Linked DNA regions of Drosophila melanogaster. The protein of the gene in region 3 interacts with the protein of the main gene of each other region in a pairwise test. Each region holds a gene or a part of one and is shown on either strand. Other genes may lie near its edges. The genes, in order: CG11164, ara and HHEX.

What was found.
Region 1: the proteins of HHEX (region 3) and CG11164 interact in a two-hybrid assay, tested with the Drosophila melanogaster proteins (one large-scale study listed by BioGRID).
Region 2: the proteins of HHEX (region 3) and ara interact in a two-hybrid assay, tested with the Drosophila melanogaster proteins (one large-scale study listed by BioGRID).

Annotation. Positions count from the first base shown.
Region 1 is NC_004354.4:13,666,014-13,671,093, reverse strand, and holds CG11164 (uncharacterized protein), read right to left. Parts: upstream 3,081-5,080; 5' UTR 3,008-3,080; coding exon 2,647-3,007; intron 2,575-2,646; coding exon 1,913-2,574; 3' UTR 1,521-1,912; downstream 1-1,520. Other genes in the region: CG15760 (uncharacterized protein), read right to left, coding at 445-534; DNAlig4 (DNA ligase 4), read left to right, coding at 3,354-3,666, 3,734-3,898, 3,958-4,868, 4,931-5,080.
Region 2 is NT_037436.4:12,577,885-12,582,964, reverse strand, and holds the start of ara (araucan), read right to left. Parts: upstream 2,294-5,080; 5' UTR 1,863-2,293; coding exon 1,812-1,862; intron 1-1,811. UniProt on the Drosophila melanogaster protein: Controls proneural and vein forming genes. Positive transcriptional controller of AC-SC (achaete-scute). May act as an activator that interacts with the transcriptional complex assembled on the AC and SC promoters and participates in transcription initiation.
Region 3 is NT_033777.3:21,078,617-21,083,696, forward strand, and holds the start of HHEX (hematopoietically expressed homeobox), read right to left. Parts: upstream 2,311-5,080; 5' UTR 2,068-2,310; coding exon 1,578-2,067; intron 1-1,577.

The DNA.
Region 1 (5,080 bases), on a different chromosome or scaffold from region 3:
TCTTGTGCTCATATTTATGTTTGTGTGCTATGCATTTATTACCGTTGGGAAAGCAATCGCAATCAATTTAAAATTCAAATGTGCATGCAACATGGATGCGCTTGCGTTTATTTAAAAAACTTTTTACAAAGATTAGCTGTTATCTTTTTTTAAGGCGTTTCGTGGGCCCAAATTGCAACAAGCGCACAATAATTGTATTTAATCAAAATATTACAGTGTTGAAAACCAAAGTTTAAATTGCTCGCACATACAAAGGTTCCCAAAAGCATGCAGTGAAACGTATAGTGTCTTGTTTTAAATGAATTCACAAGCGATTTTTATCACCTTGACAATTTACATGTGTAAAATGCGCTTAAAAATTAACTACAGCATAACATTTCGTTGTTTTTCGGTTATTATGCTAGTTTGAGTGCTTGCAACATTGATGAAATGAAGGGCACTTACGTTCGCTGGCAGCAGCCCCAAAAGGAGGAACAAGGAGAGCAGGAGACACTGCAGCGCGTTTGTGTGCGAGGGAGAGGGACGGAGCCACATCTTTCTCAGCCGCTGACGCTGCCTCAGTCGACGCCGCTGTCGCAGTTGCTGCTCGGACTGGCGCCAAATGTCCTACGGGGCTGGTGAGGGGAGGAGGTGCGGGGAGTGTGTGCCTCTCCCTTATTTTCTTCGATTCTTCGCTTTCTTCTTGTCGCAGCCTCCGTTTTGTGTCCGTTTTGGCCCTCGTGTGCGATTTGTTCCTGTCTTTTGTTTTGCTTTCCTATCTGGCTTTCTACTTGCTTCTTTTGCTGTTGATACTTTGCAGTTCCGTTATTTGTACCACATGCTGTTGTTGCTATTGTTGTTGTGGTCGGACTCACACAAACAGCGCTTTGTTTTGTCCTTGACAGACGCCAAATGCAATTTACCGTAGCATGCTTTTGTGCGTTGCGTTGCGATTGTTGGTGTTGCTGCCGTTGTTGTTGCTGCTGCTGCAGAGAAGAGAGAATTTGTTGCTAACTGAGTGCTGCATTGTATTATTTATCTTATGCCACACCAACCACAACACATTCGCACACACACATACACACACACTAAGGCACAAACACCTCGACGACGCCAAAGAAAATTTTCTTTCGTGTGACGCCACTCTTTTCCTTTCTCTGCCTTTCACAATTTAAACTTGAGCACTGGCTTTGGGACACACGGCTAACGGGAAAATTCACTAATGTAACCCCTGTAATTGTTGTTCCGAAAATTCAAGGCATATAGAAAACAACAACAACAACAAGAGCAGGAGTAGCAGGATATTCGGTTGCGGGCGAATGGGTAACGGGGGTGGCGAAATGCGAATCAAGGCGCAAAGCGGAATTCACCGTTAGCCTCGAACGTGGGAGCGCGCACAGCAACAACTGAGCGACAAAAACGGAAACAAAGGAGCCAGCAGCTTTGTAACTGACGGCCAGGATTGCCACCCCGCGCAATGAACTAAGGATTGAAATCATATGTGTTGCATGAATCCCCAAAAATTAATTTCGTTTCTAGTTAGTTTTATTAGTATACTCTGATTTCATATGTTTAATTAGCATTACTTAATATGCTTATATGGTATACCTAAAAAAATATGTCGACTAAGAAACTCTTTATTCGCAACATTTGGCACTGAAGCCTCTAAGTAAACCAATTCCTTAGAAGCCTGGCAACGCCAACAGCTGATGGGGATTTACCAAACGGAATCAAGAGAGATGATCAAACAGCGCATGCGCCAAAAAGGCGCACTTTCAAAATACCAAATTTATGAATACAAATCTTAAAATAACAAAAGTAATTCTTTAAAGTACTATATTCATTGTAAAAAAAAGTGTACATTTGTATTAAATAGAGTATATATATAAAATAAGGAGTTAAAACCTATTCTTAAGATCTGTGAAACGTTAATCTACTTCGCTTTGAAAAACGATGCGATGCTTTTAGTGCCCTTGGCTCCTTTGGCCAGGGCCTTCTCCTTGGCGGTCAGCGAGCGCTCCTTCAGAGGCGCCGCTGTGGGCGATGTGATGGTGGCATTGGGATCGCCATCGCTGTCCACTAGACCGCTGGACTTTAGCTTGGCAGCAGCATCGCTCTCATTTAGCTTGATCTTCTTGGAGTCGCTGCCCTCGTTCTTGCCCGCCACCGACTTGCGCTTCTGAGAAGCTGCTTTCTCCTCAACAATCGCCTGAATCTCGCTAGGAATGTGCAGGTAACTGGTGAGCAAGCCGTGCAGATCCGCATCCAAATACCGTCCCACATAATCGCAAGCCATGCGCGTGTAGTCCATTTCGTTGCTAACGTTCTCAGCTACCAGTTTCTCGCTTCGCACGAAATTCTGCGACTGCGCACTGTGGCCGCAGTGGACTTGCTTCTCCTTCAGGATCTTCGCCACCTGGCGCGTCTTCAGAGCCAACCAAGCCAATGTGCGCTCTTGGTTGTACTTGTAGAACTTCTGTTCGCCAGAGCTCTTCACATCTGCCACGCATTTAAGGTTCCCTGGGTCGAGGATCTCGTTAAGCAGACGACTGGTGCTGGCCTCCTCCACGGCAATGTTGTCCAGCGATATTGCTCCTGATTGTGGTTAAAGATTTTCAAGAATACAATAGTATAGTATACCATCGAAAGCGAATGATAATATCTTACTTTGCGCACAATGTTTTCGGAGGTGATGAAGAGCCAGGAACGTGGGATCCACGGGCGCGGTCATGTAGATTCTGCCGTTGGAGCAGACCTCGCTGTCCACGAACCAACTGCGTCGGGGTTCCGTGAACGCCACCAGCTCCATCATTCTGCCATCGGGATGGGTTATGAACAGTGCCTCCTTGCCATGTCCGGGATGGAAAAACATCTCCAGCCGAAGGTGTCCGTCGTCCGCATCTTTGGGCAGCAGTTCCTCCGACATGAAGAACACCTTCTTCAGTGCCGAGGCCTTGCACATCTTGGCAGATCCCTCCGCATCCGGATCAGCTTTTGGTTTTCTCGCTCGCGTTTCCTTTTTGCCCATTTTCTCGAATAACTTGCCAAGCGTGAAGCAAAAGTCAATAACTGTGGACCGAACCAAAACAAACGATTTGCCGCCTTTTTGGTTATTGATAGAAGTCTATCGATTAATTTTGGTATTTTATATAGTCTGCTAATTTTAACTTGTTCCTATAAACTATTTTATCTATTTTATGCCAAATAGAAGAGCTTAAAAATTAAATAATCTCTGCCACTAACGTCCGCATCTTAATATTGCAACTAGTCTAAAATGGGTATTAACTTTGATTGAGAAGCGCGGTCACATTGCTTGAACAGATGTTCACAGTGATGAAATTGTTTACAACAGTATATTGTTTTTAAACAACAAAATGAGCGTAGATATAGCCAGCACGATCAAGTTCCGGGATATTTGCAGCCTGTTCGAGAAGATTAAGGCCACGCAAAAGGTGGCTAACAAGGAGGAGGTCCTCAAGAGCTACTACGAGTCCTTCTGTCGCCACCGCGAATCCTTTCGCCGGCAAACCGGATTAAACAACGACCAGCCGGAGGACGGTGCCAGTAGCTTCTATTCCGTGCTGCGACTGCTGCTTCCGGGTGCGGACACTGGTCGGGATACCTATGGATTGCAGATCACCGCGCTGGGCAGGCTCTACATCAGGGTGCTCCAGCTACCCACGGACTGTGAGTGCAGAAACGTATTGGCAATGGCATTTAGGCTTATTTAGAATCTCTTTGTTGTCTCTACTAGCCAGCGATGCCATCAGGCTGCAGCACCGCAACGGAAACATGTACCGGGACTACGGTGATGTTGTTTATTCCGTGCTTAAGCCAAGGTGCTTTAATCCGCCCAGCAATTTGAGACTGAAAGAAATCCATCAGATGCTGGACACCATTGCCAACGAGGACACAGAAGGTGGGCGCTTTTAAACTGATCTGAACGACTGAACGTCTTAATGAGACCGCTCTTTGCAGTTAAGCAGCAGCAACTCATCCGGTTTACGGAGCAGGCCTCGCCTGAGGAACAGAAGTGGCTAATTCGGTTGCTGCTTAAGAGCCTCGGGCTGGGGATCGGTGAGCAAAAGATTTTCGGTGTGCTGCACCCCAAGGCGCAGGATATCTACCAGCGCTGCTCCGATCTGGGACATGTGTGCAATCTGCTGGCAGACCGAACCACCGACCTAGACGCCAGCAGCAGCAAGGACAGCAAGGCGGCGGTCAAGTTTGTAAACCTGAATTCCGTCATACGGCCATTCCACCAGATACGTCCCATGCTGTGCGAACGATTCCCCGGTGACATCCAGGAGCTGATGCAGTCGGATGTGCTCTATCTGGAGACCAAAATGGATGGCGAACGCTTTCAGCTGCACATCGATCGGGGTCGTTTCATGTACATTTCCCGCAATGGAGTGGACTACACCAGAAACTTTGGTCACAGCTACGATCACGGCACCTTAACGCCAAAGCTGAGGGGACTTCTGCCGCTGGGTCTGGAGTCTATCATACTCGACGGCGAGATGATGGTGTGGGATACCAACAAACTGCGCTTTCGGGAAAAAGGCGAGAATACGGACGTGAAGAGCCTGAAGCCGGAGGGCAGCTGGCAGCCATGTTTCGTGGTGTACGATCTGCTATATTTTAATGGCCAGAGTCTGCTGGACCATACCTACATTCAGCGGGCGTACAAATTGCAGAAACTCATAGTTGAACAGTCGGGTGTGCTGCAGTTGATGCGTGCACGCAAAATCGGTTCCGTTCAAGAGTTCAACGAGCTGTTCCAGCAGGCACTCGACTCCCACGCCGAGGGCATTGTGCTAAAGAAGCAGGGATCAAGATATCAGCCTGGCGTTAGACTGGGCGGTGGGTGGTACAAGGACAAGGCTGATGTGAGTAGAGTCATTTTTAAGTAGAGTGCTTTAATATGAACTCACTTCAATTTTCCAACCAGTACATCAAAGGGCTGATCACCGAGTTCGATGTGCTGATCATCGGGGCATTCTACAATCGCAAGCGCACCTTTGTGGACTCATTTTTACTGGGCGTTCTCCAGCCGGCGCCGCCAGGCAGCTCTAATCGTCCCGAAGTCTTCAGTATTGGA
Region 2 (5,080 bases), on a different chromosome or scaffold from region 3:
GAGGACTCCATTCCAGCAGTACCTTTCCGCTCTCGGAGGAAGCGCCAGTGGTCCAGTGGGCCATGTGAATTGGCCACGTCTGCGGATGGAACGTGGAACTTTCGTTGTTCGCAGTTGGAGGATGCAGACGACGACGACGACTGGCAGGCGACAGTGCGCAGATAAGATCTGCTGGCCATGTGTGTGCCCAGTGAGCAGTAACCAGTAACCAGTAACCAGTACCCAATGCCCAATGCCAGATACCCAACTTCTGAGTTGCACTGGCTTTGGAAATTTCTGTGAATCGCAAACGCAGCGATCTAATCGCAGCTTGTATCTCGTGGGTCCACCAAAGCGGCCAGGCTACCGCGATTCTGCATCCGAGTGCCTCCCCCGACAATCTCCTCCAGATGACCAAGTTGATAGCACCGGACTATAAGCGCCACTTGGAGCCGCACTCCGCTCATTCTCCTCACTCCCCAAAACGAAGCCAATGTAAAGTAGATCAGAGTGGAGCCAAGTCATTGGTCCATCGATCGTGTTCGTTGGGATTCGGATGCTATCCTATCTGCCATCTCCAGATTCAATGGATGCTCCTCACGTAGCCAGGAGGGCATTCCCAGAGCCTGCCCTCAGCTGTCACTTTACGGTTATGAATTTTATGATTTACGATCGCCGCAATTGAATTTTATTGACTTTTCAACAGTTTCACCTGAGCGTGCCTCAATCGGCACCTCCCATCGTCTTGGCCTTCTGATTGCCAAGGCTTTTCCCTTTTTTCTTTTCCTTTTTCTTTAGTTTTTTTTTTTTTTTTTTGCTTTCGTTTTCGACTTTAGTTAATTGGGCTCGTGTGGTCCGAAATGGGAAAGACGCCAGAGTTCTTTGGAGGAAGAACCAGGCAATTGGTAACCAAGTATTATGGCCTGGGAAATTAAAGTTTAGCCCAGGCAAACGCAATCAATAGGAAATTTAATTTACTCTAGGCCTTTCGAAAGCTTCTACAACTTTTGTAATTTATCACAATATTTTACAAATATTTTAGTTGCACCTGCAAGCCGCGCAATTTTGTGCAACATCTTTAAAACGCCGAATCGTTTTTTGTGTGAATTTTGAAGGTTGACAAAAACGCCTGATTCCTCGGAGTGGCTTTTTCTCAGGCCATTTATCAGCCATCTGATTTATTATGGTTTTTTGCTGGCCTGCCACCAATTTACTGTCATAAACATGGAAAAAGTTTGCCTCAAGCAGCTGTTTTTGCTGCTTAGTGAAAAGTCCAAAAGCGCTACAATCAAAGACTTTTAGCGGTTTTGCCCTATAGTGGGTCCTCAAGATCAAATAATCGGATAACTTTGACTGGAGTCGGTGGAAGTACTCAGATGAAAGTTGGTGGTAAGGATTGCTTAAAAAACACACAAATAGAATTTAAACCCAACCAAGCTTTTTTAGGAAAAAAATTTTAGAAAAAATATTCAGATAACGGGTTCAGTTTTAATGATGGAACGCACTCCAGAAAAGATAGTTGTGATTATAAATAGAAAAATTAAATATGTATATGAAAAAATATGATTTTACAACGCTTTTTGCTTGTGACCTCTGTTTTTAATACCTCCAAACATAAAAATTATGAATCTTTAAGGCAATCATAATTACAATAATCAGTTGATTATATCAGTCGTATGAATAATATTGTATCTAAATAGGTTCCCATATCTGCAGTTAATAAACATTTTCATTCCTCTAGTTATCTTGAGATCTCTTGCTACTTAATGAATATGAATAGCCATCATATAGTATATACATCTAGATCAAATTTAGTTAATTAGAGGACCCACCTGCGAGGCCGACGGAAAGCCTCCGTATCCGAATTGTGTGTAGGCAGCCATTTCGCTATATGACTATACGACTATATAAGACCTAGTCTTAAGATACTCTCTCTCTCTCTCTCTCTCTCTCTCTCGCTCGTGGGCAGTCTGCTGAAGGATATACGGTGAAGCTGCTACATCAAATGATGTGCTTATCGGGGGTTTAACAGCTCAGTTTCGATTGGGTCTGTTCACAGTGGGCACTGGCGATAACGACCATAACGACATTGGGCCAACCGAAAGTATCTCGTGGATTTGTTTGGTATTTGCAGTTGCAGCTGTCACTTGTGGTGGATTTTTGTTTATATATATTTTATTTTTTTTTCTGGCTAACAGCACTCGCAAAACGCGGCGGCAACGAAAAATCGACGAAATATCGACGGCAAAAACGCGGCGCTTCAGCACACGCTCCCTTTCAGATGTGCACCTTATAACGTTCGAACACGAACTGGTTGCGAATGCCGTTGCTGTTGGCCGTGTTGCTGCTGCTGTTGCTGTTGTTGTTGCTGCGCTGTTGGGGCGCATTCCGCTGCAGTTGGCGCGGAAGCGGGACAACAATATGCTGCCTCCCCCCATCGAAAGAGAAACGGAATGCCGCTCGCCTTGGAGCGAGCAACAAGAATAACGGAGTCGGCAGACTGGAAGTGTAAGCACTCTAGAGCAACGCCCACCGTTCTCCGGTTTTGTCTGGTGTTGGTGGTGGCATTTGGCCGGTCGCTCTCTCCGCAATTCCAATCCGATTCCCCGCCAGTGACTCGTATTCGCGGCTCACTGGAAGTGAGGCCAGCGCAACCACCAATCGTAGGGCTGCATGAGCTTCGGCTGGCTGATTTAATGGACAGGTGCGAGGTCGCCAGGCGAAAGAAAGCAAAGAAAAGAAAATACAAATGAAATGAGCGGATGGTGAAGGGAGAGGAAGTGGGTAGGGAGCGGGACGCATTTTCACAACTGTCGATGGTCTCTTGTTTTACCCACAATTCCCGGGCAACGCCCATTTGTTTTGTTTGGCTAGTCATTTGTTTGTTTACTTTTCACAATTGCGCGCCCATCGACTGGAAGTGCGCCACCAGCGATCGCCAGCTGGAAGTGGCAACAAAGTGCTGCGATGGCCAAAAGTGGCGACACAAAAGCGTTAATAAGATCAGCAAATTCCAAGACACTCGCACTGTATTTATCGTCTGTCATTATCTTTATCGCTGCATTGCACTTTAGTTAACTCCCATTATCGATCCTCACTAATTAATCTCTCCTAATTCGGGTTTAAATGAAACATTTCCAGCGATCTTTGTTTAAATATCATTCCACTTGGATACCAGTTACTTAAATTATCAACAAGATTTTAACTTTTTATGGAAGGAATTAATATCCTTACTCAAACAGGCAATCATACCATTAATTCTTGGGATTTTTAAATATCAACCAGATTTTTACTTAGCTTAGGTTATGTTATTAGTAATCATAACATATATTAACTTTGAGACATTTTAAATTTTTTATAAAATGTGTATTGCATTTTTTTACTGCAATTGCTTTTTAACAGACACAGATCATTTAAGTATTTTCAACATTTGCGATACTTTGGCGAACAATATTTATGGCAATTAAAATACTTTAATTATCTAACTAAACTAATTGTTATGCTACTTAAATATGCTAGCCAATTTAATTTCGCCACTTAAAATATCTTCTAGAACATAAGCAATTTTAATTGCAATTAAATAGCACTTGACGTGTATCCGAAAAACAAGAAAAGCCTGACCTAATTTTCTTTTTGATAAATTGCATGCAACGTATGTTTCTGCACTATGATACATTAATTGAAAAAAAAAATTGATTTTTCTAAGATATTTTTAGAGATAACTTAAACCTCGTGTGTTTTGCAGAAAGTTCGGTCTTTTAAGAAATCATAAAAAATATATATTATACTGTCAAATTTAGGGCAAGGAATGGCCCACTTTTTCACTTACACCATATTTATTATGAACTTTTAACTATATTTATAAAATTCCATAAGTTTAGTGTGTAAAAGGTACCCGCATATTGCACATGAGCCCGTGAAAATGCTGGATTTGGAAAAAAGTTTTTGCTATTAATGCGCACTAACATATTTGGACATCCGCTTTACGATCTATTTTTTACGATTACGATTCTCCGGCAGGATGAATTCTCCGGTCGAGGACACGCATTCCGGAAATGGAGAGTCCGCCGTGGATGTGATGCGATGTGATGGGGGAGATGAGGTAAACCTCAAATGTTTTTGCGGGTGCCGCGGATGTTGGCAAGCTTGTTTGCAGCGTGTTTTTGTTTGTTCTCCTGTTCTTCTCTTCTTCTTTTTTTTGTCGTTTGTTTATTTTTATGATAATGTAATAAAAGCAAATTAACCTATAAAACCGAAAAAGTGCGACTTACACGACGGAATTGCGCCATAAGGTCTGGGCGTGTCCTCACCTCGCTCCGCATAAGATATATGTGTGTGGATGAAACGATCCACGTGGTGTGGCTGGAAGTGTGGGTAGAATAGAGCAGTATGGAGTGGCTATGGTGAGTGGATATGGGTGGTACTGGGGGTGGTGGCACCCCACCCACCGCGGCCCAGCAGCGCCGGAAAATGAGAGCAGCGTGTTAGCTGAAAGCAACAAATGACCAAAGCTGTTGCCCCCACCAAAACCCAAATGTGAATTAATTCCAAGGGAAGCCAAGTCATGACGAGGCCAAAGGCAAAACCCAGCGGCAGTCGCACACTTGGCCAAAATCGGGGATCACTTACAGGAACCTCGATAAAGGTGTATAGAATTTATTGGTAAACATTAGTAAGTTTGCTTTTAAAATTGGAAAAATAATAGATTAAATATGAAAAACTAAAGGTTGTTTATAAATTTCATACATAATTTATAAATATATAATGCATATTTTTCAATGTACATATTATTTAATTATGCCATAAAATAATTAAGCTATATAAAGTGTGCTTCTAAAAGTTCGTAATATAAGTATTAAAAATTGAGCCTATTCCTAATATTTCTAAGGTAGTTTTCTTAGCAAAAGGCCTTTTAAAAATATTTATTCTAAATGGGAGCACGTATTTTTTTCGAGTGCAGCGGCGGCAACAAGAGCGTAGAGTCCGTTCCAAGTGCCCCTCCGGGTGTTAAGTACAATATTTGCTGTGTTGCGCGTTTTACGAGTGGCGCTTTTGCAATCGCCGGACGAAAAGGGAAGGACGCAAGAGGGGGTGGCCGGGG
Region 3 (5,080 bases):
AAGCTAATCAATACTCCTTTTTTTTTTTTGAGGCGTAGTATGATCCTAACTCAGTTGGACTCATCATAGATATATCCTCAAGACGGGCATATTGGGAACAGAAAGGTGCACTTAGATATTCCATTCCACTATAATGTTGTATTGATTCCTTCCTATTTCACTACAATTATATCGAAAGATACTGCCTGTGATAATTGTGTGTTATCCAAAGGTTTAAATGAGTATGATTTCTCACAGTCCGTCTAATTCGCAGCAGCTCGATTTTCCCAAATCAACAGCTCAATGCCTTTCAATGAAAACTAACTGTCACTTAAATATCCATAGATATAGTTTCTGCTGTCTCTCACCTGAATTTCAAATATTTGTCACTTCTGATAAGCCACCGAAATATTTTCCGATCTGAATGGGGCATTTGTACTGCGAGGGGATGGAATTCGGGACTTTGACTTTATCAGCATTGCTAGGGCTAATCTACCGTTACACCACCGCCCAGAAAACCAACCGGGAAATGCAGTTTTTGGGGCGGGGAAAATGTGATTTCGAGTGGCATTGGCGCCAACACTTGACTTTGACAAATACCCAACTGCACCACAACACACACACATTAATCATGTTTATGGCCCATTTTGTGTGGGATCCCCATTGTAATATTCGGTGGTCCGGGCACTTCGGACTTAGGCTAGCTTAGATATTTGGTATTTAAATGGGGATTTCAGGCAACACCTTTCCCATGGCGATCAATTTCCATGTGTCAACTTGATGAGCGAGATTAAGGTGTCAGCATGGGTAGGTTCAATGACTTGAACTTGGTAGTGTCGAATCAATCCTAGTCTTTGCTAAAAACTGTGAGAAAGTCTAATAGAAACTATGGTTCCAAGCTTCATGAATAAGAATTTAAGAATAGGGATTTAACATATCATACTCTGAGAATGCTTCTGCCTTTATCTGCATTTTAGTGTTTAATTGATAATTGTAGCGCTTATTCATTCATATTCAGGTGACTCATTTCCGGTCATTTGATAGTATGATGAAATATGCTAATGAGGTCAAACGACTAAATTGTTGATAGACATCATTGGGCTAATAGATTTCTCAAAACCGCATTAATTAATATATTAGTCAATTATTTTATGAGCTTGTCAATAACTTGACCTAAGGGTTTCAACTGCGTTTGCATGTATGTATACAGCTCGAATAATTGAATAATTTTGATCTTATTCTAGAATTTTTTTTAATAAAGAAATGCTGTATTGTCTTCATTCATAATGTCGAATAAATATACTATACTTCTTGGCCTTATAACTGCTTTACAATCTTTTGAATTTGCTGAGATTAGATTGCATATAATTTAATATTTCATTTCTATACCTTTTCTATAGCTCTGTGGAAATACCATAACTTTATAATAAATTTGTAATGTCTTCTCCTCATGCACCCTTATTTTAGTGAATGATTTATCATAAATTACCACAAAAATTAAGCAATTATCTTGAAAATGAATCTTTATCTTTTAGGACATTCAACACCCAACTAAAATACATGTTAACCCCACTAAGTAGGTATTCTGAAGTACTCACCTTCGCAGTCCATGGTAAATGGACTGTATTGATCACAATAGGCTGTTGGCTGAACAGCGGCTGCGGCGGCAACAGCGGCCGCCTGGAAGTGGGGCATGAAGAGCGAGGGATTCTTCTGGAGCTGCAGCACCTGCTGGTAGAAGAGCGAGGCGGGATCCGGGTAGATGGGATTGAAGCGCAGCGAAGTGGGAGCCAGGACAGCACTGGAGTCCATACTCTTCATGGCATACTGGGCGGCAGCTGCCTCGCGGGATAGATCGTAGATGTTGGTGGCGGACGATGGAGAGGGTGTAGGCGCCGCGGAGGATGATCCAGTGGCCAAGGATGCCTTGGGCATGGCCAGTGCGTGTGGAGTAGCTATGCCTGCTGTTACCGCCACGGGACTTTGAGAGGAGCCTCTGCGCGATTGAGATCGATGCGAGGAGCTCTTCTGCTCCAAGATATTCTCAATGGAGAAGGCGGCCTTGCTGGACTTGGTGGCGATATCCATATTGGTGGATTCTGAGAGCGGTAGTAACGAACTGTAGATACCGATTGATTGGGTCCGGAGCGATCGAAGCGACTGCGTCGGCCGCAGGCGATGAACTAATGGCCACCAGCTGTAGGAGCCGTCGCAGAGCCCATGGGCGCTATAAATTGTACCAAATCTGATTTCACAGAATATAATAGATTGTACCTATAATGTTGTGCTAATGGGTAGATATCAATATTAACAATAATAGAGCGGTATGTAGATATGCCGCGCATGGGAGATAGTGCCGAGCTACCGGCCATCGATTGATAAGCGAGTGGTGGTTGGTTAGGCGCTCCACTGCCTCGATGGCACTCCACTCCACTCCACTCGATTCCTATTCCCAATACCCAATACCCATATTCCAATTTCCAATTGCAGGCGGCGACAGCTCGACATCGGTACGCGGTTGGACACCCAATCGGCGATCGTTGTATAAATCACAGTCCCTGCTCGCCCGCTTATTGAGCTGCCAACCCATCGAACCCACCACCCAACCACCCAACCACCCTCCCCCAGAACGCCTCCCACTCGGCGGGTCGGTGCGTTTGATCGAGTAATTGTTAATCACCCCTTATCGGTATCGTTACCTGGTTTCAGCTCTCAGCTACTGTTTGGCTATTTTACTCTGTTGATTGTTGTTGTAAACAAATTAAAATTGCCCCAAAAGGCACCCCCCACCCTACCCCCTACCAACACCATCAGAGAGCCATCGCTTTGATTGAGTAATCGAGTTTGTGTTATGATTTCGGCCATGGTGCCGTCCCTCTCTGCTCTTTGGGAACAATATATGCGTCTGTATACCTGGGGCATGGATAGGTGTTTCGGGGTGTCTTATCAGTTGTACTCGGGCTCCTCGTAAAGCCTCTCAGATGATGGATTACTTTTGATTTCGGCTTGGGCCGGGTGATAAAATGGAAAACGCACAGCCCATAAATGCCTTTAATTGTTGTTATTGTTACTGATAGATACCCCTTTGATGTTGTTTTTCAGGTCGCCCCAGAAATTGGTACCTTCGAGATAAGTTTTGGGCCTCGACGAGTTTCGGGAACAATGAAAATCTTTAGTTTCCGCTGGTGGAAAGGATGTTATCATGTCTTCGGTTCACACGATGAGTAGAAAGTAAAGAGTTAAAAGTTCTTCAAGTTTTGTGATTTTGCTAAATGGTGACTACTTTAAATTGGCAGGAGTTCAATCGAAACTGTATGACTTCACTACATATGACAATGACTCAAATTCATGTGATATTTGGCAATAAACCTATTTCTTTTGATATGATTCGCTGAAAAGTGATTTAATGAATTGCAAATAGAATTTTCGGGGGTTCTTCGTTGAAAAGGGGCAGTAAACTACAGTCAATCGATTGGTGATTAAAATTTTATGACATCAAAATTTTAAAAATAACTCTTTGAACATCATACATATATTATATTTTATGTTTCTGTTCGCATAATAATTGATATACCTTAATGGAAAGCACCTTGACTGAAAAAGAGATTAAAACATTTAGGAAACTAATTTATGCAAAGCCTGCTTTCCAAGATATGAAGGAAAGGAAGCCCATACAACATGCTACCGAGTGCACTTGTAATCCCCGGACATATCACTTCGACGCTTCATCATGAGCAGACACTTGTTGCTCTGCTAACTGATAGTCAGTTGTGTGATCCCCGACAAAATCCCATCGATATAACGTTTTGCACCCGAAAAACCCAACTGACGGCCATTTTGTGACATATCACAAGGTGAGTATTCAAATTTATCAACATGAATGGTTCGAATAGAGTATTCGGGGGTCTGATGGTTGGTCAGAAGGAAGCTCTCAATGGTAAGTAATGACCATTCAAAAAGTATTTTGTACTTTACAGAAACAAATTATAACATAATAATGAATAGTTAATAATGAATGGTGAATGGTGATAAAAATAAAATCGTTTTTCGGTGCTATGCGATAACTAAATGCGACCAATTCGAGACATTGACGAGGCCTACTGCTCGATAAGAAGCCATGGCCTGGGGGGCTTATGGTCGTCAAGTGAGGCTAAATTATTAGCAATTATCAGGAGACAAACGGTTTGAAATGACTTCGAAATTGGGCATAAATAATTGTGGCACGCATTAATAACAGCAAAGAAAGAACCGGCTGAATTTGTAATCCCCTCCAATGGGCATGTGTTTCGATGACAAGATGTCGATATTGTTTCCAACTTCATTTTACATTTATAACTTTATTCGATCGCCTCGCAAGCTGTAGGTTTCAATACATATATATATATATATATATATATATATATACATATTTTCACTTGACTTGTTCTCCATGAAGTTGCGTTTGATTCGAACATTATCATATTTATTTATCTTCATTCTTTTATTTATGCAAATGAATAAATATTTGTATATAGCACTACGTTGGCTGCGAGTAATTAATAAGCATCATTTCATCATTGACCTCTTATTGCATTTGATTCACTTATCTCTCTCTCTATCGGCTCTCCTTTCTGATCATCCTTTGCATATAGTGTACATACATAATAATATATATAGAGTTTAATTTAAGTTATCGTTAGCTTTATTTTATAACTATTTATAGGCTTCGCAAGAAGTTATTCAAGGTCTGCTTTGCTTCGCATTGTTTGAGAGTTAAGAGTTTGAGTTTCTTTGAGTATTTGCTTGCTTGCTTGCTTTGATTTAAATTCCATTTAAAGAAAAACAACAGTTAAAATGCAAAATAAATTAATTCAACTACAATTTGAGACATAACTAGGCATGCACACATTGAGTTCTCAGTTTTGGATTCATCTTTCAGTTATTTTTGGTTTGAAAAAGCACTACGGGTTACAAGATCGTCGAGTATTTGGGGTTGTTGCCATTGTTCTGAACAAGCTTCCTAGTCATTACGAAATAAAATTAAATCCATCGACTTTTCGTCCTGATAGCAATTAGTGAGAAAGTTCGAGTAGCAAACGAGTTAAAGTTAAAGTAGGAGTTA